Linked DNA regions of Oryza sativa Japonica Group. The protein of the gene in region 1 binds, or shares a complex with, the protein of each later gene. Links are inferred from orthologs where the notes say so. Each region holds a gene or a part of one and is shown in the gene's direction. Other genes may lie near its edges.

The links.
Region 2: large ribosomal subunit protein bL9c (region 1) and large ribosomal subunit protein uL10c share a complex: the UniProt entries of both Arabidopsis thaliana proteins name them as parts of the 50S ribosomal subunit. The link is inferred for Oryza sativa Japonica Group from reciprocal best matches to the Arabidopsis thaliana genes RPL9 and EMB3136.
Region 3: large ribosomal subunit protein bL9c (region 1) and large ribosomal subunit protein bL27c share a complex: the UniProt entries of both Arabidopsis thaliana proteins name them as parts of the 50S ribosomal subunit. The link is inferred for Oryza sativa Japonica Group from reciprocal best matches to the Arabidopsis thaliana genes RPL9 and RPL27.
Region 4: large ribosomal subunit protein bL9c (region 1) and large ribosomal subunit protein uL15c share a complex: the UniProt entries of both Arabidopsis thaliana proteins name them as parts of the 50S ribosomal subunit. The link is inferred for Oryza sativa Japonica Group from reciprocal best matches to the Arabidopsis thaliana genes RPL9 and RPL15.
Region 5: large ribosomal subunit protein bL9c (region 1) and large ribosomal subunit protein uL5c share a complex: the UniProt entries of both Arabidopsis thaliana proteins name them as parts of the 50S ribosomal subunit. The link is inferred for Oryza sativa Japonica Group from reciprocal best matches to the Arabidopsis thaliana genes RPL9 and AT4G01310.
Region 6: large ribosomal subunit protein bL9c (region 1) and large ribosomal subunit protein uL1c share a complex: the UniProt entries of both Arabidopsis thaliana proteins name them as parts of the 50S ribosomal subunit. The link is inferred for Oryza sativa Japonica Group from reciprocal best matches to the Arabidopsis thaliana genes RPL9 and EMB3126.
Region 7: large ribosomal subunit protein bL9c (region 1) and large ribosomal subunit protein uL3c share a complex: the UniProt entries of both Arabidopsis thaliana proteins name them as parts of the 50S ribosomal subunit. The link is inferred for Oryza sativa Japonica Group from reciprocal best matches to the Arabidopsis thaliana genes RPL9 and AT2G43030.

Annotation. Positions count from the first base shown.
Region 1 is NC_089036.1:35,818,859-35,823,114, reverse strand, and holds large ribosomal subunit protein bL9c, read left to right. Parts: upstream 1-1,456; 5' UTR 1,457-1,475; coding exon 1,476-1,598; intron 1,599-2,265; coding exon 2,266-2,393; intron 2,394-2,743; coding exon 2,744-2,789; intron 2,790-3,058; coding exon 3,059-3,156; intron 3,157-3,240; coding exon 3,241-3,288; intron 3,289-3,390; coding exon 3,391-3,511; 3' UTR 3,512-3,577; intron 3,578-3,693; 3' UTR 3,694-3,931; downstream 3,932-4,256. Other genes in the region: 4-coumarate--CoA ligase-like 3, read right to left, coding at 1-140. UniProt on the Arabidopsis thaliana protein: Binds to the 23S rRNA.
Region 2 is NC_089037.1:9,831,879-9,834,609, reverse strand, and holds large ribosomal subunit protein uL10c, read left to right. Parts: upstream 1-1,384; 5' UTR 1,385-1,445; coding exon 1,446-2,108; 3' UTR 2,109-2,231; downstream 2,232-2,731. UniProt on the Arabidopsis thaliana protein: This protein binds directly to 23S ribosomal RNA.
Region 3 is NC_089035.1:41,095,372-41,099,150, forward strand, and holds large ribosomal subunit protein bL27c, read left to right. Parts: upstream 1-1,433; 5' UTR 1,434-1,516; coding exon 1,517-1,825; intron 1,826-2,623; coding exon 2,624-2,725; intron 2,726-2,810; coding exon 2,811-2,987; 3' UTR 2,988-3,279; downstream 3,280-3,779.
Region 4 is NC_089037.1:6,341,527-6,345,765, forward strand, and holds the start of large ribosomal subunit protein uL15c, read left to right. Parts: upstream 1-1,439; 5' UTR 1,440-1,498; coding exon 1,499-1,916; intron 1,917-2,082; coding exon 2,083-2,234; intron 2,235-3,220; coding exon 3,221-3,442; 3' UTR 3,443-3,456; exon of another isoform or gene 3,457-3,558; intron 3,559-4,198; exon of another isoform or gene 4,199-4,239. Other genes in the region: uncharacterized protein, read left to right, coding at 1-4, 174-907.
Region 5 is NC_089037.1:1,440,999-1,444,394, reverse strand, and holds large ribosomal subunit protein uL5c, read left to right. Parts: upstream 1-1,211; 5' UTR 1,212-1,279; coding exon 1,280-1,582; intron 1,583-1,715; coding exon 1,716-1,916; intron 1,917-2,307; coding exon 2,308-2,643; 3' UTR 2,644-2,896; downstream 2,897-3,396. Other genes in the region: probable polygalacturonase, read right to left, coding at 2,974-3,396. UniProt on the Arabidopsis thaliana protein: Binds 5S rRNA, forms part of the central protuberance of the 50S subunit.
Region 6 is NC_089039.1:18,889,689-18,893,777, forward strand, and holds the start of large ribosomal subunit protein uL1c, read left to right. Parts: upstream 1-1,289; 5' UTR 1,290-1,468; coding exon 1,469-1,837; intron 1,838-1,943; coding exon 1,944-2,123; intron 2,124-2,233; coding exon 2,234-2,288; intron 2,289-2,554; coding exon 2,555-2,682; intron 2,683-3,143; coding exon 3,144-3,227; intron 3,228-4,089. UniProt on the Arabidopsis thaliana protein: This protein binds directly to 23S ribosomal RNA.
Region 7 is NC_089036.1:1,980,082-1,983,515, reverse strand, and holds large ribosomal subunit protein uL3c, read left to right. Parts: upstream 1-1,134; 5' UTR 1,135-1,228; coding exon 1,229-1,760; intron 1,761-2,493; coding exon 2,494-2,783; 3' UTR 2,784-2,934; downstream 2,935-3,434. UniProt on the Arabidopsis thaliana protein: One of the primary rRNA binding proteins, it binds directly near the 3'-end of the 23S rRNA, where it nucleates assembly of the 50S subunit.

The DNA of each region.
Region 1 (4,256 bases):
CCGGCGCCGGCGACGTCGACGACGAAGGCGGCAGCGGCGGAGGCCGTGGTGTCGGGGTGGGGCAAGCGGGAGAGCACGAAGGACGCCGCGTCGCCGGCGGCGGCGGCGGCCGAGTACTCGGATTCCAAGATTTCCTCCATGGTATTGGTATCTCGATCTTTGGGTGTAACGATCGATGGAGAATTGGATTGGAGATGAAGCGAAGGTGGAAGAGGGTGTGAGGATTTTTAAAGTTTTGGCGCGCTAGCTAGCTTAGCTAGCTTCGTGGAGTCCGCTTGTTTGGTTTCTCCGATGGCGGGAAGGACGAAGTCATGGACGGCTGCATGACATGACGACGACGATGACATATACTCGATTATATACCCCTCTTCTCTTCGGTTTTCTCATCTCGTTGAGCAGTAGACATACTAATTCAATAAGATATATAATCGCCATTCTTTTTAAGAACGATTTGCTAGGTTTTTTTTTAATTTTTGTTCCTTTCGAGAAACAGGTCACCAGCTGGAGATCTTTGTCAGAAAAAGTACAACAAGATGATACTGGAGTATGATATACGAGGATGATATTTTGATGATACTCGTTGATAATTAAACAATGATACTTGATTATACTCTTTGATATTATTCATGAAGATACGGAGTATTTGCTAATACTCGTTCTTGCACATTGATACTTGATGATACTCGTTGATATTTGCTTATACTATTAATACACGTTTATACGTAATGGTAGCTAGTGATGTATCGTTGAGTTTCAAGATAGCACCAAAATAGTGTTATAATAATATATTTCTCGATTTATGTTATAACATGAATATTAGTGAAGGACCTAATATCAAATAATTAGAAGGGGTGAGGTTACGAATCCAGGTCATTTAGGCTATCACCTTGTGGAGCTAGCCGGAAGACCCCTGAGTGTTTCTCTTAATGTATGTTATAACATCTTGGCATCACATGTACTATCTATCTATCTTAGTAATATCGTCGAGGTATCACGTACATATATATCTCCTACCTTTCTCTATACGTTGAGTGGAAGGGGGTTACAATTTGGTGGATTATTATTACGACTTGTTTGGTATGAAACCATGCCAAAATATTGGCAATGCCAAATCTTGAGTAAATTTTGGTATTACTAAATTTTTGTTATTGTCTATTTGGCTTCACCTTATTGATTTAGCAAAATTTGACTCTAATTCAAATAGTTACGTGTTAACTATTCAAAGTTACCAAATAATTTATTTTTGACCTTTAAGTTATCAAAGAATTAGTAAGGCAAGAAGGAGCGCCAAACCAAAATGACCCTTAATCTTCAAGCCCATGACAACCCCGAAGAAAACCTTTGATACTGGGCCGATTTGAAAGGCCCAAAGCAGCGCAAAGCCCAAGAGAGAGGGCACCAAATCCGTTGGGGAAGTGGATAAGAGAGCAGCAGCCGCAGTTCCTTCCCTTCCCCCGCAATCCATCCCCAACGCCATGGCCTCCACGCTCGCCTGGAGCTCCGCCGCCTCCTCCTCCGCCCCCTCCTCCCGCCTCCCGCCGCGCCGCTCCCCGTCGCTGGTCGTCGTCGCCCAGGGCAAGGTCAAGAAGTATCGCCAGGTTTGGCTTCCACTTGTATTTTCTCTCCACAGTTGCAGCATGTATGTATGTATGTATTTAATTGCGATTCGTTCGAGCTAAGCAGTACTAGTACTGACTGATTGAACAAGCTGTTGCTGGTGATGCTTTTGTTTTGCCTCTTTTAGAACTAGCCATACCCAATGTACTGTCTGTCACCACCCTGTCCACTAATCAGTACAGTAGATTACAAAGCGCATGCGACTGCATTCCATCGATCGAAAAATTCGAAATGCAGCAGCTGTAAGCTTAAGATTACTGTGTGCATTCACACATCTGAGTATAGGAAAAGATACATTGCCATGGACGCATGCTCTGATGCAGTACATGGAAATGGAAGAAACTATCGTCATGTTTTTAATTAGGTGCCTCTTAGCATTGCAACTCAGATGCAAAAGTCATCTCTAATATGATTCTGTATATGCCCCGGAACGCCGGAATTGTTGGTTTGGCCATGCTGTTTGTTTGTAGGGAAAGTTGCAACTAAAAGGCATCTAGATACACCCAGTTCAAAATTTGCACCTGTAAACTGTAAAATGTTCCAAGCCTATGTCATCATCTTCCTTGTCTATTATGCATTTCTATACTTTAGCATGTAATGCACGATTCCGTATTTGATTTACTTCACTTGAGTTTCTTTTTCTCCCAGGTCATACTGACAGATGACATAGCAGAGGTGGGGAAGAAAGGGGACACGCTTAAAGTGAGGGCCGGGTTCTACCGCAACTTCCTTCTGCCAAAGGGCAAGGCAACGCTGCTCACCCCAGAAGTACTCAAGTAATCTTCTGTCTTACAGTCATTTACCACATCTCACGAATTGTATAGGCTATGTTTCAACCAACAGATAGGTGCTCCTAGTAAATTAATTGACGTATGCTTATGTTTCATCGTAGTTGGTTTTCACAGTATGCTGCAGGTGTAAATTTGCAGCTATTTATTCTGTTGTGTTAGCCATTGTATCTCTTGCCTCCTTGTGGAGCCCAGGATTGACATATAAATCTGCAAACTTTTATAGATGCCTATTCTGCATTTCTAGTTCAGTTCTTCTGGGGTGTTCAACATGTTCAATTAGTTCTTGTAAAAGGATGGCTAGTAAGCTACTTAATTTCCTCTGCTGCTGTCTACAGGGAAATGCAAGTAGAACAGGAGAGGATAGATGCTGAAAAGAAGCGGGTAAGTAAACCTATTATTCTATTTGTGGACTCAGTAAGAATTGATATAGTTGAAACTTATTCCTATTTGTTCCTGTCTGTCTAAAAACTACTGTGGTAGTTATACCCTACTAATCCTTGTTCTCCAGGGTACGTAGTTGTGGTTTAGCTTATTTTGTAAAAAGTCTAAAGCATGATTTGTTCCTACCAATATCATTTTCCATAAGAGTATAAGAACTTTCATCCAGTGTTAGCATAATCTTACCCTGTTGAGCATTTGTGCTTGAGTAGGTAAAAGAAGAGGCACAGCAACTTGCCCGTGTTTTTGAAACTATTGGGGCATTCAAAGTGCCACGTAAAGGTGGGAAAGGAAAACAGATATTTGGGAGGCAAGTTTTTATCGAGTAGATAGTTCTTTATGTATCGTCTTATTTTACTTGCACTTAATAACAAGTTTTTCTTCTATTCTACAGCGTCACAGCACAAGATCTTGTTGACATCATAAAGTCACAACTTAATAGGTATGCCCTTCTAAGTGCACTGACAATCACTACCTTTTAAGGAAGGATTGCGATGCTCTATTTGCTGCTGTTGCTTTGCTTACCGGAAACTATTTCATGTAGGGATGTCGACAAGCGTCTCGTGACAGTGCCAGAAATTCGTGAAATTGGGGAATACATTGCAGAGATTAAGCTTCACCCTGAAGTCACAGCTCAAGTAAGGCTGACCGTATATGCGAAATAAGCCCTGAAGCTGCTTGATTGAATCTTTAGTGGATGGTGGGCTTTGGATGAATTCTGATTTCACCAGGTAAGCTCATCTGCAAGGCATTCCATTGTTCCTTACCTTTTGCTCCGTTCTTAAGCTGTCATATACATTTCGTCAATTGTGTTAGCAGCTGAATTCATGCAATGATTTACTTGCAGAGATTTTTGCTGAAACTCCAAGGTGCAGTGTCACATCACGGGGCTTGGTCTTTACACATTGCCACTGTCCATCCTACCTGTAAAGTCAGTTTCTTGCACCTTTTTTTTTTTGACAAATTTATTTGTGTTAATGTTATGGGGTTAAATGGGCATGATGTAAACAACAAAGGGTTCAGAGTCTAGAGCAACTGATACTTGTCTTGTAATCTTGTTTAAAGGTGCACGTTCTTTATAGTCATATAGTTTGATAGAGCTACTACAATATTTGGGTTGGGTGGGCCAAAATGGCACGTAGGCAGTCTGGTGGTCGTAGGTTGGGCCGCTTGGTCGCTGTATTATTAGGCCCAAACATAGGGATTTCAACACATTTTTTAATGAAAACTTTCATCTGAAAAAACCTTCGTTTGGAAACTTCCATCCAGAAACTTTTCATCTGAAACTTTGACACGGACTTTATATGCCAAAAGTGTGTGCCGCGGGCAAAGCTGAGCTAATTAGTCATCCTGTTAGTACATAAACTATTTGGGTTAGATTTGTTTGTGGGTGAGGGTGGAAAAAGTTAG
Region 2 (2,731 bases), on another chromosome or scaffold:
GCAGCAGAGCTGCAGCAGAGCTAAAAGTGAATTTCACCCTGTACCAGACGTTCTTGTTTCCCTGCATCTTATTTCTTGGATTTCAGTACTACCAATGACATTATTATATGAACTATACACTTCCATTATCAAAACCATCATTTCATGTTAGGGATGGCTTGAAGTGCACACGAGTTATGGAGAGAATGGTAAGCATCGGATGTTTGGTTTTCTGTGAAATTGCGTTGAGCATGCTGAGTCCGGAACAACTCCGTGTTTACAGCATCAGAGCAGCTGCTGTTGCTTGATCGTCGCAGTTTATATCCTTTCCACCTGACATCCTTGCAATGTTTATATCCATTTTGATCGTCGTACAAGAGATTCGCATGGTTTTCTTACCTGTAAAAAAAAGTTTGAATTATATATATATATATATATATATATATATATATATATATATATATATATATATATATATATATATATATATATATATATATATATATATATATAGTGATGCATCTACAAATCGGGCGCTCGATTTTTTACAAAAATCAGGCATTGTTTCACTAAATAGATCGAAAATGTTTCAATATTTTTAAAAAAGCTGAAACACAACCAAATCACATCGTGAAATATTTTGTTACAACATATGAAACAACAGTTTCCAAAAAAAAATCAGGCATTGTTTCATCCTATATAAAAACAATATTTCAGCAAATAGCAAAGGATGTTTCAAATCATTGCAACATTTGATCATACATAGTGAAACATCACGAGTACACTTGCTAAAACATTGTTGGTGGAAAAAAAAATGAAACGGATTCCTTTAATAAAGTATTTCCTTAATGTGCGGGTGATTTGTTATAACGACGCGTGTGGTGGGGCACGTGGGGGGGGGGACAACGCATAAGGGGTGGGAGCGTGCGGGAGGCGGCGAGCGCCCGATTTTTCTACCGCTGATCGGGCGCCTAATCGCTGTCATTTTCTTATATAGTGATATCTATTGTGTTGAATAATTCAGTACACTGATGTATGTTATGTTTTATTGTACATATCAAGAGTTTTTGAACTCAAGAAAACAATAGTGATGTATGCTGTGTTGAACAAGGCAGTGAAGATTGGAGTTGTTGGTACACGACTTCACTCACTATGGTTTAAATTGACGTCTATGAATACCACACATACGCGTTTGCTCTATGCCTCTATTTTTTTTTATTTGGAACTCTTAATCTTATTTTCAACCGCTCATGGATCAAGATCGAACGGCTATAAATCCTCAAGCAAAGGTCAATCTCCACGGAAGCTTCTTTCTGTGCAGCTGACCGAGCTGAGTTCACCATCTTCTCAGGCACTGACGATACGGTCCCACATAATCCAGTGAGCCCCCCGCCTCATCTTCCCCACAGATAAGCTCTCCCACTCCACTCTTTCTCCCAACCCGCCATAGCTCCCGGCCTCCGAAGATGGAGACCTCCTCCTTCCTCCGCACCACCCTCCCCACCGCGAAGCCCCTCCCGGCGTTCCAGACCCTCGCACCCCGCCCCCGCCCCCGCCCGCTCCGCCGCTCCACCATCAGCGCGGCCATCACCCGAGGCCGCAAGGAGGACACGGTGGCCGCCGTCCGCGAGCAGCTGGAGGGCTGCTACCTCCTCGCCGGGATCCGCTACGAGGGCCTCACGGTGAAGCAGCTGCAGGGCATCCGCGACACCCTCCCGGAGACCTGCCGGCTGCTGGTGGCGAAGAACACGCTGGTGGGGAAGGCCATCGAGGGCACGCCGTGGGAGGCGCTCAAGCCGTGCATGAAGGGGATGAACGCGTGGCTGTTCGTCCACACCGAGGAGGTCCCCGCCGCGCTCAAGCCCTACCGCGCCTTCCAGAAGGAGGAGCGCCTCGAGGAGACCAACGACTTCGTCGGCGCGGTGTTCGAGGGCAAGTTCTACGCCCCCGGGGACTTCAAGGCGCTCGAGACAATGCCCAGCCGCGCCGAGGTGTACGCCAAGCTGCTCGGCTCGCTGCAGGGGCCCGCGACCTCCGTCGTCACCACGCTGCAGGCGCCGGCCAGGGACGTCGTCTCCGTGCTCTCGGCGTACGTGCGCAAGCTCGAGCAGGAGGTCGGCGCCGCCTGATGGCTGTTGAGAGATGGTTTTGTGGCTTCGTTTCTCTCATCTCACTCATTTCTTGTAGAATTCCTGTACTTTTACTGCCTCACGTTTGAATTGAATCACAAAAGTTTTACCTCTTACAACGCATGCCTACTGGTCTGATTTCATAAGATTACCGAGTTCTGATGTTATTAGGATTACGTTGCGTACTTAGAGGGAATGCTTGTTCCACAACTAGTGTTTTGATAATTTAATTTTACCTGTAGAGACTACAGAGATCAAAGTTTAGTAGGTTGAGGGGCAATGGCAATGCACAATTAGAATGGTCAATAACTACTAGTGCTTGTGTAGTTGTACCATCAATCAGTGTATCCAGGTTTACAACAAAGTTGTTCAAAGCAGTATGATGAGATGTTTTAAAATCATGAACTTAACTGTGCTCTTTTTGTTAAGAGCAAACCTCCTTGAAGTGAACAAAATTAAATGATTAATTCATCTTTTAGTAACAGAATAACACTAATTAGAGTTGGAAATTCTTCTGAATTAGCTTCTGAAACTTACTGTTGGTCACCAGCTCACCACATACCTAATTTGTATCATTTCTGTCTGAACGCGCAGTGGATCAAGAATAGAATTGGCAAAATTGA
Region 3 (3,779 bases), on another chromosome or scaffold:
AAAAAATTATGAAAATATATAAGATATAAATCATGTTTAAAGTACTTTGAGTGATAAAACAACTTACAACAAAATAAATTATAATTAAGTAATTCTTTTTAAATAATACGAATGGTTAAATGTGTGAGAAAAAGTCAACGGCGTCATATATTAAAAAATGAAGATAGTATACAATTTATTCCTATAATTAAGTAGATAATCTGTGGTAATAATCTAAATCAAAATTTGGGGGGGGGGGCTAATCATGAATTGAAGATGAACAGTGGAAAACGGATGGTGGGGTTAAGGAGGGCTAGCTATAATTGGATCCACAGATCCACACTCCATAGCGAGGCACACTTTGTCAAGGATGAATCATGCATGGGCATGGCCGGTGGGGGTGGTGTGTCCATACAACAACAACAAGGAATCAATCCCCAGCCAGCCTACTTTGCCTTTGCAGTCAAGCCCGCCATCATTCTTGCTCACAATTGGGGCTCTTCGATTCACTTCATCCACACACTCAATTCAGATTTCATCCACACCTCCTCCTCCTCTTCTTCTAGCTTCCATCTCATATGCTTTCTGGAATTCTGGTGGCCCTAACTCCACTCCTCTCCTCCCTCTCGCAAAGTGACTTCAATCTCCAGGAAATATTGTTGATTTGTTGTTTTCGCCACAAGAATCACAACTTATGCTCTCTCTCTCTCTCTCTCTCTCTCTCTCTCTCTCTCTCTCTCTCTCTCTCTCTCTCTCTCTCTCTCTTTGAAATTCATGATTCATTTTTGGTCTTTTCTGTTACCTTCTGCTAATATATTTCTCTATTTTTTTTCTCCATGTTACCTTCTGCTAATATATTTCTCTTTTTTTTCTCCGTAATGTTTAATTCAATACTATAATTCCATCTAATTTGGGAAGCGAAAGTGATGTGGTGGTGGAGTTGTGGGTATATGATTTTATCCTCCAGGGTTCAAATCCTAGCGCCCACGAATATTACGCATATGCAAGTGGACTTTCAACAAGATTTTAGTGAGATTAATTAGTAATGTTCCGCTAGTTTCTCTCTCTTAGAGCGCATGTTAAGGGACACATTCGCAGGGCTATGAGTGTGGTGTTGCTTGTGTAATAGTGTGTGCGTGGGTGCGTCTGCAATGTAACTGAAAAAAAAAAGTAATTCCATCTAATTTTGTCCAGCAAAAAGAAAAAGAAGAGATGTATGGGCCGGCCCTTTTCCTCGCGTTTCCACGAAGCCCACAACATCGGGCCCACAAAGGCTTTGCGGTAGGCCGGCACGTGATTCCCACCCACGTGCTGGGCCGGCGCGTCATTCCCTCCCGCTTACGTGTGCTGGGCCAAAGTACGTGGGCCGGAAAGGGATTCCCAACCGCGTGATGGGCCGTAAATGGGTGATCCCGACCCAAAAAAAAAGAGCCCACGTCTTCCTCTCCACTCCCACGTTATCACCTCGCCGCTGTGCTCCCACACTCTATCTTCTCTTTCTCTTCTCCTCGCGACTCCGCCGCTGCTCGAGAGCGCAATGGCGTCCATGGCGTTCACACTGGTGGGAGCATTCAAGGGGATGTCCCTCTCCTCCCCGTGCCATTCCTCCTCCTCCGCCTCCTTCCTCCGCGCTGACCGTGTCTCGCTCTCCGTCGGCGGCGGGGTCGGGATGGGGGTGCCGATGACGATGCCGGTGCGGCGGCTGACGATCCAGATGGCGCACAAGAAGGGGGCCGGGAGCACCAAGAACGGGAGGGACTCCCCCGGGCAGCGCCTCGGTGTCAAGATTTACGGCGACCAGGTCGCCAAGCCCGGCGCCATCATCATCCGCCAGCGCGGCACCAGGGTCATCACCATCCTCTTCCTTTACTTACTGGTTCTTGGATGTTTCATGTGTTCGACTTTTCTCCTCAAATTTTGACTGATAGTATAGCTTCGTCCAGCTCTGAACAATTTGTGAATTTAGGTGAGGTTGTTGTGTTAACTAACATCTGCACAATTCAGAGTTCAGGAATGGTGTGAATATTCTTTAACAAAAAGGCATGACAATGATCGTGTTCCAAAGTTGGTCCTAGAGAAAGTCTGTTATTCTATGCAACGCCACCCGTTTGCTAAGACGTGGCCGCATGTGGTACATTCTTACCAATATCGTGGGATGTGGCCAAGAATTACACACTCTTCAGACTTCAGGGGAACTAGATGTTTCAGGCACTCTAATGCAATGCAGAGAGAAAAGGAGGAAGTACACTTTGATATTAGGACGTGCTGTTTCTGCACTAAAGACTCAACTGATAGTTACTTTCTTCACATCCATGAACTAACATAGCACAAGAATGTGCTACATAAATGTGTGTATCCTGTAAAAACAGTTGCATGTGCTGCTAAACTACTTCCTCTTATGTATTGTATCGTATTGCAAGGCATGCATGCATCCTTTCGATGTACTTTCCAAGTTCTGGCATTTGTCCCGCTGTTTCAGTAATGCATATGCAACTTCTTTGAAGTTTATCCCTGAACCACCACACACACCCTCTGCAATAGTCTATGTTTCTACATGTTATGAGCAGTTGCGTTTCATACAGTAATTTCACATTTTACGGACATATTCTTGCTTTTTCTTATACATTTTCATTGGTCATTTTAGGTCTATCCTGGAAATAATGTTGGAATGGGCAAGGATCACACCCTCTTTTCTTTGATCGATGGCCTCGTAAAGTTCGAGAAATATGGACCAGACAAGAAAAAGGTGAAAGTCTGCATCCTAGCTATAACTTGTCAGCATCTACTTATAATTGTATCTAAGTGGTTTTCTGTTGCCTTTTCTTTTACAGGTAAGTGTTTACCCATACGAGAAACAACCTGAGAACCCAAACAGTTACAGAGCAAGAAAGAGAGAGTACTTCCGCATGCAGCGTGAACGCAAAAAGGCAAGAGCAGAGGGAATTGTTGAGGTGCAATTGGTGTTGGCAGCTGCAGATGAAAGTCCTGAGGTCAATGCAGACTGCTGATAAGTTCTCTGCCCCGTTTTTCTCCATTTTCGCAATCCATGTTTGATAACAATGTTTGGAATGTAAATCATCAACTATGAGATGAATACAAGGCCCATCTTCAACTCCTTGTTTAGCCATGTTCGGCTTGCTGTATCTTTTCTGGCAGCTAGGCTTTAGGAACTAGGGCGGGTCTATTCCAACTGAATCATCAACAGTGAGATGAATACAAGGCCCATGTTCAACTCATTGGTTAGTCCTGTTCGACTTGTTGTATGCATGTACCTTTCCTGGCAGCTAGGCTTTAGGGACTAGGATGGGTCTATTCCAGTATTCCGGTACCACAAGTTCCACGTAATTGTGTTATGGGTGTTGTGGTGGGCTGATCTGATGCTTGAAAGTAGTGGTATTCATGTGGAATTGCAATTTGCAATGGATCAACATCATCACTGGGGGTATGATATATGGTTCAGGCCGTATTTGAAACTACTTTACAAGAGGTTCTTGCAAAAGTAGTTTCTTTTGGCATGTAGGGCTGTAGTGGGGTTTCAGCCTCTTAATTGATTTGGTTGCCGCAAGACTGCAATGAGACATCTGCATTTCCTTGATTCCTTCTTGAGGGACCTACTATCTCTACTCTCTACAACGTAAAGTATGTGAGTTGGTGATTGGGATGGTAAGTTCTACGCCTGCATCCTTCCTCCAATTTTCGCTCACAACTTTGACATACATCTCAAAGGAACATCTTTTACCAGGAAAAATAGGATGCATTTAGGTTCACTATTATGAAAATCAATTTCATCGCTGTCATGG
Region 4 (4,239 bases), on another chromosome or scaffold:
AAAGGTAACATTTGGCTTAAAAAGGAGGTTCCAGTTATGATAACATTTTAAGACCATAAAACAGTCTATTTTGTTGAAATGCCTTGAGATGACTCTTTACTGCAGATATACATTTTAAACTCTTAGTATGCCTACTCATACAAATTGATGATACTGCTAATTTTTGTTGGTAGCTTTATCTGTAGAAGCACCTGATTGCAAAGTTGAAGAATCAGCCCCTGGAAGTTGGCACAATGCGCATGCATCAATTAAGGGTGGAAAAGGCAATAAGCATGAACTGGAAGAAACCTCTGCTGGGTTTCCTCCTGATGACTCTATTGGTATTTCTGGAATGGAGTCCTCTTCAAGAGACACAGCTAATAAGAAAATCAAATTGTCAAAGGATATTGGTTTGGACCGTCTAACCGCCACAACTGTTCAGGAAGCACCGAAGCGTCCAAGAACAACCTCACTAAAGAAGAATCAAGAGTGCAGCAGACAGAAGAAAAGAAAAATAAGCAAGTGGGATGGTTCCTACTCTGTAATCATTGAATGGTTGAATTACTATTCTGTGGATGAGTCAGATGAAGATGAGGTGCCTTTGATAAATAAAAGAACCGAAAGAAGAAAGCGGCAGAAGTTACTGAAACTTGTTCTTGCTAGGGAATCCAATAGTGGCAGTGAAGGTGCTAGTTCTACATCTTTTGTAGAAAATGGCAGAAATTCTAGCAGTGCTGGCTCTTACCCCCTAAGCCAGGGGGACAATGACAAATCTGAAAATGTGCAAGCTAATCGAGTTGATGTAAGTTCATTGCCAGATCATCCTGTAAGTAGTCATGTAGCAGCAGAGGATCAAGCTGGCCAAGCTGCATCGTCACCATTGAACTCACCAACTAGAGGTATCGTTGTTGACATTTCAGATGGTTGATGGCCAGAGTTCCATTAGTTTCTTTCAGCTGAGGCCTGGACGTACAATTATCCAGACTACAGTTGTAACACTTACTTTTAATTCCTTGCACCTGTCTACTGCTAGACATGCAACGGGACGATCCTGTGAAGCATGTGTCTTGTACATGTCTTCGTTTCTTCCTTTCTCATTTCACCTTTTCTTTTCTTAGCATAGATCAGTTCAGTATACTTAACTCTGTCAGGTTGTGTGACCCATCAGTTTCTCTCCGTACTAGTCTCTTGAAGAACAGCAAAGATCAGGTTTTCTCTTTGGTTGATTGTGTGTGGAAGATCAATCCAAATATGTTCATTTCTTAAGAAGATAAATTCAGTTCTATTCTATTCATAAACTTTTGTAAACCTTCTAAAATCCTTTAATAAACAAGAAGCAAAGTGAGTAATACGAAACCATTCACAAAATAGAGGGAAAAGAGGCCCAAATTCCCAAGGGTTAATTGGATTCATGGCCCATTTATCCAACCGTCTTATCTCCCTCGTGTCCTTCCCCAATTATCCCCTTCTATCCACCCACACCAGCAAGCCGCTCAGGCGCGCTCTCCGCTCCACCGCCATGGCGTCCATCACCCTCCTCTCCCTCGCTCCCGCGGCCACATTGCTCCACCTCCCGGCCTCCACTTCGCTCTCCACCTCCTTCGTCGCCGCTCCAGGCCCCATCTCCGGCCGCCGGTCCGTCGTCCTCCGCGCCCGCCCGCGCCGCTGCGTCACGGTCGTGTGCAGCGCCGCGGCGGCCGAGGCCGCGGAGGCGGAGCCCGCGGAGAAGTTCCGGCTCGACAACCTGGGCCCGCAGAAGGGGTCGCGGCGGCGGCCGAAGCGGAAGGGGCGCGGTATCGCGGCGGGGCAGGGCGCGAGCTGCGGGTTCGGCATGCGTGGACAGAAGTCGCGCTCGGGGCCAGGCGTCCGGCGCGGGTTCGAGGGAGGGCAGATGCCGCTCTACCGCCGCATCCCCAAGCTGCGCGGCATTGCTGGAGGTGAGTCTCTTCGAGCTTCCCGCTTCCCCTCCTCGCCCTCAATCGAAGCCTCACACATTCAAATGCACTGGAAATTGAGTGGGAACACGCTAGCACCTTCCATTTGGAATGCAGAAATGCTGGGATTGAGAAGTGACCCGTTGCAAGTTCTACCTTGCGATTGCAGGAATGCATATTGGCTTGCCGAAGTATGTGCCGTTCAATTTGAGAGACTTGGCGCGTGGCGGGTTCAAGGATGGTGACGAGATATCATTGGAATCCTTGAAATCGAGGGGTTTGATTAATCCGTCTGGCAGGGAGAGAAAGCTTCCTCTGAAGGTACACTATACGACGATTATCCTTCTTTTTTTTAAGTCGGTTCTGTAGATGACCATGTTTTACTGAAAACTGAAATATGAATGCCTTGCATTTGATCTTTGCCAGTGAATTCATCAAGTTCACCAGCAGTCTTGGGTAATCCTTTAGTTGTTGATGTTGTGGATTGAATGGCTGGCCTTTTTTTTTCTTGTAGTTCTCAAATGTTGCTGTGTTGGTCTGTCCTTAGCAGCAATTACCAAGTTGAGTATTCGAAGTCTCAAAGTTGTGTGTCGGGATCAATTTTCTTAGCTCGTGTTGGACAAACACGGTATGATTTGACGAGTGTTTCTATTGGCTACTCAAGGATCTAGAACGTATGAGTTATGATGAACCCACACATGGTGTAGGCCTGCATATGAGCATATCTGTCAGGCATAAACATGAAGTGGTATCAAGATCCCAACAAAACCATGTGCTCTTACATGTACCACTGCATGTCTGCATCACTCCCAACATACCCAAAATATTTACTGTTTGTCTCCACTCTTAGTTGGCGGATTGCTGGAGTAGATGCATTAGTGTGCTACTGGGTTGCCCCTTATAGTGGGTAGTGGTGTGGCGCTTGATCACTGATGTGACAAAGACTTCTCCAAGGGTGGAACTTAATGCACCTTGAATAGCATAATTGTTCAACTTTTATTGTTCTTTCTGGTCCTATTTCATTTGATTGATTTTTTCTATACTCTAGGCTCCTAGCTATGTGGTACATATAAGGTAAAACCCACAGGGCTAAAACAGGTATCAAGACCTAAGTCATAATGTGGGGAGCTATCAACTTTATCCTTATGATAGGCTTTTTCCTTCTTGACATCTGATTCTGATGTTCAGCAGATGGCGTTCCTTTCATCTTTGTTTGAGTACAATGATACTGCAATGTTGCTGTTGTTATTGTATCTTTTATCATGCGGGTAGTATTAGTATGCTAACTTTTGAAAACCTATCTGTAGATTTTAGGAGATGGTGATGTATCAGTCAAGTTGAATATCAAGGCTGGGGCATTCTCTGCTTCAGCCAAGGAGAAGCTCGAGGCAGCTGGTTGTACTTTAAGTCTGGTACCAAAGCGGAAGAAATGGCTACCACAATCTTATCTGAAGAACCAAGCTCGTGCAGAAGAATACTTTAGCAAGAAAAATGGTGGTGCTGGTGAATCTGATGAAGCATCTGCATAGAATTCATATACACTGTACTTCTCCTTTACCCTTTTCTTTAACATATACTTATTTCTCTTACCTTGTTCCAAAAGTTCCACGTTCAACGAATTTTGAATCCGTGCGATATGCAAGCATTTTTTTTTGTGTGTTTCCTGTTTAAATGGAGAAAATTCCTTCTATACCCCTGAAAGTTTAGCCAATCCCTTCTACGCCTCCGAGTTTTGTCCACTCCTTTGTATGCCCCTGAATTTTGGTTTTGATCCCTTTCATACCCATACCGTTAGTTGAATGTTTAATTCTAATGAAAAGGACCTTTTTGCCCTTAGACATGAAGGAAATCTAAAAATTGTAGACTAGCTATATTGTTGGAAGTGTATAATTTTGTTATATAAGACTATCATATTCATGACTTTATTGTACAAGGTATTATTCATGGCAAAGTTTATTTTTACCTAATGACATAAAAACTAATATTTATTTACCTACTAAAAGAGTATATGTAGCATTTGTTTATGGTAGTTCAACATATTTTCTCCTGTTGTATATATTATATAGGAATGCTTTCCAAAACTATGTTTATCATTTAAAAAAATGCTACATGTACTTTTTAAATATATATTAAATTTTTTATGTACATAAAACTTATGAATATGATAATCACACAACAAATTTTATACTTCCAACAATATAGTTTACAAATTTCTACATATTCCTCACATATTGAAGGGTAAAACTGACTTTTATATACCTATTAAACGGTCAATTAACGGCAAGGGTATGGAAGAGATCCAAATCAAAATTCAGAGGTATACAAG
Region 5 (3,396 bases), on another chromosome or scaffold:
AGCCTTGTAATATGCTTTTCTGTCCTGTTAATAGAAGAATAATTTAGATAGATATTTGGAAGCTCATTTGGACGGTGGAGCACACAGGTATTAGAAATGATGTGCTGGGGCTGAATGGCTGATGCTTTTGCTAGTACTGCTGGTAATGATATATATTAATCAGTACCATTCTGAATTTATTAGTCTGGTTGAGTCGTGCTGCTGACAGTGAGGTGTTCACTGATAAAATGTGTACTTTCTTTTATATTCTTTATTTGCCGACATTCTGTATCTCTTGTTCACGAGATGTGCCGGATGTAAATATGAAAGTGATGCATGGCTGATTACTTTTTGACCGTGAAGAAGAATTAATGAAGCTTATGCACACTAGGCGGTTCCTCCATACTGCTGAATGGCTGTTCATTAAGGCCCTGACAAGTGACAAGGTCACAGACTGACAGTTACTTCTTGAGGTCAAGGAGGTTAATGTAGTTTATCAGGATTAGGTTGCAAACTGACAAGGAAGATATTGTCCGTTGTGTTTCTACTCTTGGTGTCAAGTCGATCCTCACAGGATCACGGTCGTGGCATTGCTGGTCCTTGGTAGAACAAGGTAGGGCAAGCGCAATGTTGTGATCTGGGACCTTTCAAATCAGATCCTAGTGATTGTCCCCTGGTTATAAAGAACTGCATGTTACGGTTACTGCATGATTAGTTAGGCATAAGCATGTGACGAGGATCCTCGTCGTGATATTCCGTCCATTTTTCAATGTTGATCAAGCGTGGCAGATCTCCTGCTGATCTGCCAGCAACTGTTGCTAGGTTCAGAGTTTGCTTGATCTTGTTTAAGCTCTTCATCGGCGTTTTTTATGTTTGAAGTCATCGTTTAATGGCATACTACTACTATACTAGTGATGTCCTGTAGTGCATTAGAAAATACAGAATGGGCCACATACTCAAACACTGTTACCGGTTGACCAAAACAAGGCATATATCGAAATTCACACACTGCAGACTTGCAGTTGTTGACTCATGTAACTTTACCCTTCTCTTAGGCCGTGTTTAGTTCACCCCCAACTCAACGGTTTTGATGGGCCTAAGGCCCAAATCAACGGTTTTGATGGGCCTAAGGCCTGAAACCATGTCGAACAGTTCGATGGGCCGAACCATGACGAGAAAGCCCACCTGCGACACTGGACAGCAACGGCAGCCAGCCACAGCCAACTCGCCTTATCCCGTAATCCATCCATGGCATAAAGCTCCCTCCTCAGCTCCCACCTCCGTCTCCGCGCACGCTCCAATGGCGGCCACGGCTGTGACCCTGCCGTCCTCGCCGGCCCCCTTCCCCGTCACCACCACCGCCTCCTCCTCCCGTAACGTCCGCCTCCTCCTCCGCTCCCCGCCTCCTCGCCGAGCCCTCCGCGTCGCCGCCTCCGCCGCGGCCGACGCGCCACCCAAGCCGGCGCCGCCGCCGACCTCGCCTTCGGGCATCGTCCTCGTCGACCCCACCGAGGCACAGAAGGTGCACCGCCTCAAGGCTGTATACGACCAGAAGGTGGTCCCCCTCATCACCGAGGAGTTCGGCTACACCAATGTCCACCAGGTGTTCGACCTCTGTCTCCCTTCTCGCAATTATAGGATAGACATGGCCATTTCTTTGCGGAACTCGGGAAATTCGATTGTTGTTCAATAATTGAGCTTAGAGGAGTGTGTTTTGGATTCTCGATTTTATTCAGGTGCCCAAGGTTGAGAAGATTGTAGTGAATTGCGGGTTGGGGGCTGAAGCCGGTAACTCCAAGGGGCTCGAATCCGCCATGAAGGACCTCGCCATGATCACCGGCCAGTGGCCCGTCAAGACGAAGGCCAAGAAGTCCGTCGCCAGTTTCAAGATCCGCGAGGGGAACACCATTGGTATTGCCGTTACGCTCCGCGGCAGGGTGAGTCCTCTGTACCTCTGGCTACTTGCGATGCAGACATTGACAAATTGGGGACTGCAATGTTGTATCAATTTGGGATTTGCATGACAGTATAATAGCCTAAAGTATGTGTGAGAATTGCAATTACTCCATCCAGTTCCAAATTATTGTCACCGTTGGCCGTCAGTATTTTACATTGACCACAAATTTTAAATGGTTGGACGAACGAAAGTTTAATACCTATCTATGTGGAGTAACAACCTTTAATAATATGGCATATTTTTAGGTATATGCATTTTATTTTCTAAAAAATATAAGTGATCAAAGTTCAAATATGAATAGTATCCAGTGACAAGTATTTGGGAACCTAGGGAATATGTTTGATCGATGAGCTTATTTTGGCTTGCTGCAGGTAATGTTCAACTTCCTGGATAGGCTCATCAACCTTGGGCTTCCTAGGACCATGGACTTCCTTGGTGTCAACCCCAACAGCTTTGATGGCCATGGCAACTTCACCATAGGCCTTCGTGATCAGGGCGTGTTCCCGGAGATCCCGTACGAGGTCGGTGGGAAGAAGAATGGAATGGACGTCTGCATCGTCACCACCGCGAAGACCGACAACGAGGCTCTCAGGCTGCTCACCCTCCTTGGCATGCCGTTCGCGGAGCACATCAAGTCCTCCGTGGTGATCCGGAAGAAGAGGTTGAAGCGCCACCACTTCATGAGCAAGGGCAGGGGAAGACGGTGATTGCAAACCGCTGCCTAGGCACGTTGAGCTTTGCTTCTCACTTTGTCAATTGTCATTGTTTTTGCAAAGTTTCGTTTAGAAGTTTGATGATTTTGTTATCTTGTCACGTGCTGTATTTACTGTCAGAAGACAAAATGAAAAGGCTTTGCTTTGGTCAGGTCATTCGCAGATGAGCACTCATAAATGAATTGGGTGTAAAGAGATTATCCGGCAGCATTTTCAAACTGCTTAACTTTACTCACTAAACCACATCATATATATCTCTTTGGTCCCAAGCATCTCATAGCCCAGGCCATTACCCACACCATACTATCATCCTATATCAGTATTTCAGTAGCTACACGTTGGCAATTCAGGCGGACCGATGACGAGCTCTTCTTCAGGGAAGGCGCATGGCTTGCCCGCCGCCCCGAGCTCCGGGCACGGCACCGGCGAGACGTCGGAGGCGACACCCTTGACATCGGTGCAGTTCCATTGCAGCTTCTTGGCGTCCGGCGCGAGCTGCGCGGTGACGTTGGACATGCAGATGCCAGTGTAGGGGTCGTTGGGAATCCCCTCCATCCTGCCGGCCATGGTGACGTTCTCCGCGAACACGTCGCTGTAGTTGATGCCGGTGACCTCCGGCAGAGCGTTGGGGTCGGAGGAGTTGTCCGGGTGCTGGCCGTAGTTGCCGGTCATCCAGAACACCCACTTCATGGTGTGGAGGCTGAGGCCGCGGACGAACACGTCCTTGACGTAGCCGCCGCGCCCCAC
Region 6 (4,089 bases), on another chromosome or scaffold:
GCTTTTTCAAACGGAAGGAGACGGCGTCGGGTGGGGGGACGCCCTGGAGACACGCATTGTTGATGCTCTCAGAACCCATGAATTGCATAAGATTAAGACATTCAGTCCAATTTCTTCCAATATTCTTTCTAAAAGAGATCTTGTAAAGTTTGCATGTGACAAAAAAAAAAGAACTACTACATAACACTATACTGTTACAACAGAATACCTTATGGTGCTAACATCAGCACAGGATCGTAGGTATCATATTTGTATGTGCACTGGATCTGGTACTACCAGACACGATATCCATTAATACCACATTATCAGACTCTCGTATTGGTTCCTATTTCCTTCGTCCCATAAAAAATCAATTTCTAGGAATGAATCCGGACAACATTCTTAGGACATTCACAGTGCGCTACATATTTTTGCCGTTCCTCATATGCCACGTAGACGAAGAACCTGTTAAGCTTCATCCTCTACAATGCAAGTACTAGTAGTGGGTCCCACCGGTACAGTTTTTTCAATTTTCATCTCTCAATCTCTCTCTCTCCTCTGTTTCTTTTCTCATCCGAAATCTTTCATCCCCCAATCTCTCACTCTATTTCTTTTCTCACCAGGGCATCCGAGGCGCTGGGGCTGAGCGGCGGCGGCTGTCAGGGCAGCCCGAGCTGCGACGGTGCCGGACGGCGAGCTCCCATCCTCATCATTGGATACGGTGGCGGTCGCAGCCTCTTCGTCGATGGCGCCTTCCTCTCTCTCTCTCCCCGTGGCTGTGGCGACAATGCGCTCGCTGTCGACGCTGCGCGAAGCCACTCGTGTGAGGCTCCGCCCTCCACAACACGACAACTCACCTTTCTCCCTGCTTTCTTCGTTTGAAGAACGAGTATCCATGTTTGGGTACGAGAACCTTATTTGGCTCCGCGTACTGTCAATGCGGCGCCGAATATTCAGTTCTTGGCTATGGGGCTGAACGTCACATCCTTCTACTGTGAACACTCTTAGAAGTTGTATCTTTTGGGATAGAGAGTGTAGGTACTCTGATGGTACGGCCAGACATTTCTGATACTCTCGCAACTAACAGATTATGGGTAATGGTTCGTAGTATTTTTAAAAAGTAAATAGCACTACATTATCGGTGGTTCTTTTGGACCGTACCCAGTAACGGCGAAATCGTGAGCTTTTGGGCCCAATCCGACGCCCGCGGCGCCGCAGCGCACCACCCTCCCCCAACCGTCTCCCCCGCGCGCGCGGGCACACACGGCTCGGCTAATCCAAAATAGCCCAAATCGCACGAGTCCTCCCCCGTCCCCCGCGACGCGCGAGCGAGAGAGAGCCCTATCCGCTGCGCGCTTCGCCCGCTCGCCTCGCCCTCGCCTCACCGGCTATTATAACACTCTCGCGCTGCCACTTCGCCTTTTCCTCCCCTTTCTATCCTCCACCTCGGCTTATCTCCTCCCCCCTCCCCACCACCACCACCACCACCATGGCCACAGCCGCTTCCCTCTCCGCCACCGCCTCCTCCCTCCTCGCCCCCGCCCCCGCCACCACCGGCGCCGCGGCGGCGCAGTGCTGCTCCTCCTCGTCCACCGCGCTGTTCCCCACCCCCGTCCCGTCGCTGCGCGCCTACTACCCGCGCCTGCTCCTCGCGTTCCGCCGCCCCGCCGTCGCCGCCGTCGCAGACCCGCAGGGCGCCGTGCTCGAGGAGGAGCAGGGGGAGCAGCAGGACGAGGGGCAGGAGCAGTACGACGACGACGACTACGACGACGGGTACGAGGGCGGACGCGGCCCCGCGTTCACGCCCCCCACCCGCCCGCGCACCGGCAAGGCCGCCCTTCCGCTCAAGCGCGACCGCGTATGCCCCCCCCGAATCCAGCCTCCCCCCCGCGTGTTCATCCATTCGTGTTGATTTTTGGATTGACGCTGACGCCGCGTTCGCCTTTTTTTTGATGGGTTTGCAGACGAGGTCGAAGCGATTCCTGGAGATACAGAAGCTGAGGGAGAGCAAGAAGGAGCACGACGTGCCCACGGCCATCTCGCTGGTGAAGCAGATGGCCAGCGCCCGATTCGTCGAGTCCGCTGAGGCGCACTTCCGCATGAACCTCGACCCCAAGTACAACGACCAGCAGCTCCGCGCCACGGTTATTGCTCTTTCTCTCTGCTGTTGCCATTGTTACGTACGTTCTGTTCTGGCTTGTGTTTTATCAATCGTTTTTGATGATATTGGATCGGTTTTGGTGATGATGTGCAGGTTAATTTGCCCAAGGGGACGGGCCAGTCGGTGAAGATTGCGGTCCTCACACAAGGTGGGTTGCAATTACATTTTGGAGATTGTTATCGCAGCACCAATTCCAATTGCAATCTTTGGTGCATGGATTGATTAGGTCACTGCTAGTTGTGTCTTTTAGGTGTGGTTTGCCTGCTTGATCATGTGGTTATTTACGGTTCATTAAATTGGAAGCACGCTGTTATATAGTGAATTGAAATGGAAGTATGTGAATGCGCGCTAGTCACTAAAGTGGTGCACTAATCACTAGCACTATGTAATGGCTATTGTCAAATATCCTTGCAGGTGAGAAGATAGATCAAGCAAGAGCTGCAGGAGCTGATATTGTCGGTGGAGATGACCTGATTGACCAAATAAAAGGAGGATTTATGGAATTTGACAAGCTGATTGCATCACCTGATATGATGCCTAAGGTATGGCATTAGCTGCATAACTCATGTCTAAAACAATTCCAAGCATTATGAAGACTTGTCTTTTTGCATGTCTCCGACATAGTTTATCCCACATCCAAATGAACACGTTATGTTTCAGTGTTATTAGGAACCACAAAACCAGGCAACATTTAGTTGTATTGATCAGATATTGTTTTCTTATCATTACCTGCCATATCTGATCCATCCCTTCATATTACAAGTGTCTAGCATTTACGATTATGATTTGAGCCATAATGGAGATATGCAAATTTGGTTCACTCAGAGAAAATAGATTCGATAAGCAAATAAGGTTCTACTGTTTTGAATTGGTACATTCTTCGGAAGTTTGGATGCAGTTCTGCAATAAGTGTTGAGCTCCATGCAAGACCTGCATGGAAGTTTTAAAGGTGTGCTACTAGCTCGGCATATTATGTTGTTGATTTTGGTCTTTTGCTTCACAGGTCGCCGGATTGGGAAAGATTCTAGGACCGAGAGGACTTATGCCTAACCCCAAAGCTGGGACTGTTTCTCCAAACATAACTCAGGTACAATGGAAATTCTACAGATTACTATATGTATTGACACTGTTGCTTGTGGTTTTCTCTCCCATTTGCTTGGTTATTGTGACCCTGAGTGAAAGGTGGGTAACTGTCCATTTACCTTCTTTGATCCTTGGTGAACTTCTGTTTTATCCTCGTTCAATGCAATAGGCAGAACTCCTGCCCTTTTGTTCAAAGAAGTTGTCCATTTACGTCATCTCAGTACTTACCTCATAGATGCACTTCTGGGAGAAAACCTACTGATATATTGCTACCTTGTTTAGTAGTCTTCATTGTGTGTGCAATATATTTCAGTGGTTCGATTTTCAGACATGTTGATAGACATTTTTTTAACCTTGTTATTCGTAGATAGAAGGTTTGAAATTTTGTTTGTGCCAACTGAATTTGAGGATATGCATGGATGCATAGCTCCATCGTTCGTTTGTTGGCTTATCAACGGCAGCCAAAATCTGGATTTTGAAACTTAATTTAGAATTGATTTTGAGGGGTTTTTTTTATTGTGCTTTATTCTCCAGTGCTGGCTTTTGAATCGCTAAGAACATAGATATAGACGTTTTACTCAAAAGTTATTTTTGGTTGCTTCGTCATTTTTCCACGGCTTATCAGCCATAGAGCAAATGATCGTGTAATGACTGATGATGATGGTAATCTGCTACTTAGCCTGCATAGTGCCTCCGTAACAGTTATGTAAAGCATCACAACAAATCTGCAAAATAGAGAAAACAGGTAAAGTAGGCTACTTGACTGTTAGGAACAACCATCATTTATAACGGTTAACTGAAGGACAGGAGTGGGAGCATTTGTGAAAAATCTAGCCCTTTAGGTAATGAACTGGGCTATATTGTGC
Region 7 (3,434 bases), about 34 Mb from region 1:
TAAAGATATAGCAAAATGTGAATTGTGAAAATACTAGTGATGGAGCGCAAGATTTGTGTTTTTGAATCTCACTCGCGTAGAAGGCAATGGATTTCTCTCGTTGCTTTCAATTCTTGAACAACGTTATTGGTTCGATAGAATTTGAAGTGTTCAATCACTATTTTGTAGTGAGCTATTCTGAACTGTGTTAGTGCAATGAAGGTCATCGAGAGTGCAAGTGGCTAACCTACAAAAACCCACTTATATACTAAAACAAACCATCTGTACCAAACTCAGTTCCCATTGATATCTTCCCACCTGGTGCACAGGGGCACCGTGCTAAGGTACAATTGATCTAGGTAAAAACACTTGACTTTAAGTAAGGACACTGGATAGCACGTTATCTAAAATAAAACTCGGTAAAGTTATATGGTCTCAATGGCAAAGCTAGCAGCATACTTAAACCTGGGAGACAAGGAACGTTTACTAGTGATCCATAAATTTTCGGTATTGCTAAAAATATGTCGCTACAAATTACGATGGATTTCAGTCGGTTGTTTCAACCGTCAGATGCGGATGCAGAAATCATCGCAGTGTACGCATATCCCTCCGATTCTGTTCTCTTCTGATCTCTTCTGTTGTTTTAATGTTATTTGCTAATTAGGATTACTAATTAGTCTTAAAAACTAAATATCCGTGTCATCACAAATTTATAGTTTTGGGAATTACATCAACTTACACATGTAATTTTGAGAATTGCATATGTAATTTTAGTACTTACATATGTAATTTTGGAATTTACATTGTAAATACACTAAAATTATATATGTAATTTAGGGACTTGCAATGTAAATACATGCCGACTATTTTTTTGGTGAAAAATACGGCGCTATAAATATATATATAGTTACTCCCTAAATTTTTACATGTGCTATCAATGGAGAATAGTAGCAACATCAGCGGCGGAGTCTGTACGGTCGCCCGACCTGCCCAGGAGGTAGCTCCGCCTGTCTAGCCTAACCTGTAATTTATTATGCACCCGTGGTATTTTGCAACTGTTACGGAATCCACCTCCCCGGCAAAGAAAGCGTATTCCTAAAAAGCGCCTCTCTGCAGGCGGGAGGATAAGGGGGCATTAGCCGCAAACCCCAATCCAATCGAATTCAACACGAAAAACAACCAAAGCAGCAAGCGAAGCCGGGACACTGCTGGAGTGAGCAAATCCCCGCTCGAATCCGGGGCACCAAGAATGGCCATGGCGGCCGTGGGCATCGGCGGCGGCGGCGGCGGCGCGCTGGGCCTCCTCGCGCCGCGCCGCCGCGCCGCCTCCTGGAGCGGCGCAGGTGGCGCGGCTGCGGCGGCGGCGCGGCGGCGGCCGCTGGTGGCGGTGGTGCGCGCGTCGTACGAGGCCGGGGTCGGGGTGATGGCGACCAAGGTCGGGATGATGACCTACTTCGACCCGGCCACCGGCAAGCCGGTGCCGGTGACCGTCGTGGGGTTCCGGGAGGGCGGCAACGTGGTGACGCAGGTGAAGACGGCGGCCACCGACGGGTACGACGCCGTGCAGGTGGGGTACCACGGCGTCCGCGAGGAGAAGCTCACCCGCCCGGAGCTCGGCCACCTCGGCAAGGCCGGCGCGCCGCCGCTCCGCCACCTGCAGGAGTTCCGCCTCCAGTCCGTCGACGGGTACGACCCCGGCCAGCCGCTCGACTTCGCCGACATGTTCAAGGAGGGCGACCTCGTCGACATCTCCGGCAAGTCCATCGGCAAGGGGTTCCAAGGTCAGTAAACTTGATTATTTTTTTTTACTCCCTTTTCACAATGTGACTACCATTTCGCCCTGTCTGAATTTGAACAATGCTTTACATTGTGAGGAAGACTTGAGAACAAGCTTGAAATTTTGCTGTATCAAATTTACCATATGCTCACCAATGTTAGTGTACAGAATTGTTCTTGGGAAGAATCATTTAGCCTCTTCTCTTGATTAGCGTCCTAGACTTGCACAATGGCATTGCCAATATGGCAATGTCAATGCTGTTCTTGGAGTTGCAGACCTGTACCATGTCAACACATTCGTTATAGTTCACAATTTATTGCAACCATCAGCATCACTTGTATAATTTTCATGAAGTGAATATAACATCGTAAACCCGTTGCAATTGCGCTCTTGATTTGCTGCGACCAACGATTTGCCAATACCGCAAACATTATCCATTTCATGTATATTCTTCCCAAACAACATAATAAAAAAGACACAAATATTAGAGAAGGACCTAATATCAAATAATTAGAATGGGTGAGGCTTCGAACCCAGGTCGTCTAGCCTACCACCTTGTGGAGCTAGTTGGAAGACCCCTGGGTGTTTCTCCCCAAACAACATAATCGTTTATAGCATTCTCATGAAGTCAAGAGCACCAATATCTCTTTTAGTTCCTGATCATCTAATGGCAATATGGCATAATTGTGCAACTATGCTCTCAATTTGCGACTGACGGTTCTTGGACATCGACACAGGTGGCATCAAGAGGCACAACTTCAAGCGAGGGCTGATGACCCACGGCTCCAAGAGCCACAGAGCTCTGGGATCGATCGGTGCCGGGACGACGCCGGGTCGGGTGTACAAGGGGAAGAAGATGCCCGGGAGGATGGGAGGAACCAAGACCAAGATCAGGAAGCTCAAGATCGTCAAGATCGACAACGACCTGAAAGTTGTCATGATCAAGGGCGCCGTTCCAGGGAAGCCCGGGAACCTCCTCCGCATCGCTCCTGCCAAGATCGTCGGCAAGAACATCCCCAAGAACTAGACTATTTTTCTCATGTGTTTCGTCCTGTTCTGTGAGATTTGTGATCTGTTGTTTACTGAATTACTGTAAATTGGAGATGTTCTTTGCCCATGTCCAGGTTTTGTATACGCGTAACTTTGAATTTCGTAAAGCTAATTTTTTTTCTACTCAATCTTATCGATCTCCCGTTCTCAGTTCACACTCTCTTTGGACTAGAAGCTAACAGAATCTTAATCATCTTGTGCTTGGATGTCAAATTTGCAATCACTGTTTATTCTGTGTTCAGGGAATGGAAACATGTAATGGTAGACGGTAGTGTAACAAACACATCTTGAGAATCAAACTTCACCAAGCGTCAACAATCTGACAGTTTTACCAACTTCTCCAATACTGAATTATTGTAAACTCTCATGTCTGAACAACCGAAGAGTGCAGAGCGCGACATGGCCAACCGCAGCAAGTGCAACAGAGGGAAAATGTTAACTAAGCATCATGTACAAACTACACATCAAGTGCAACAGCACGAAATGTCAATGTAAAGCTTCCAGTCACCATTAACGCTAACTTCTACAATATCTTCAGCAATGACACAGGGACAATAGGTTTCTTGCATCAGTCAATGCGACACATTATTAGGCCATGAAATATTCTCACACAAGTCACCGAAGCTGG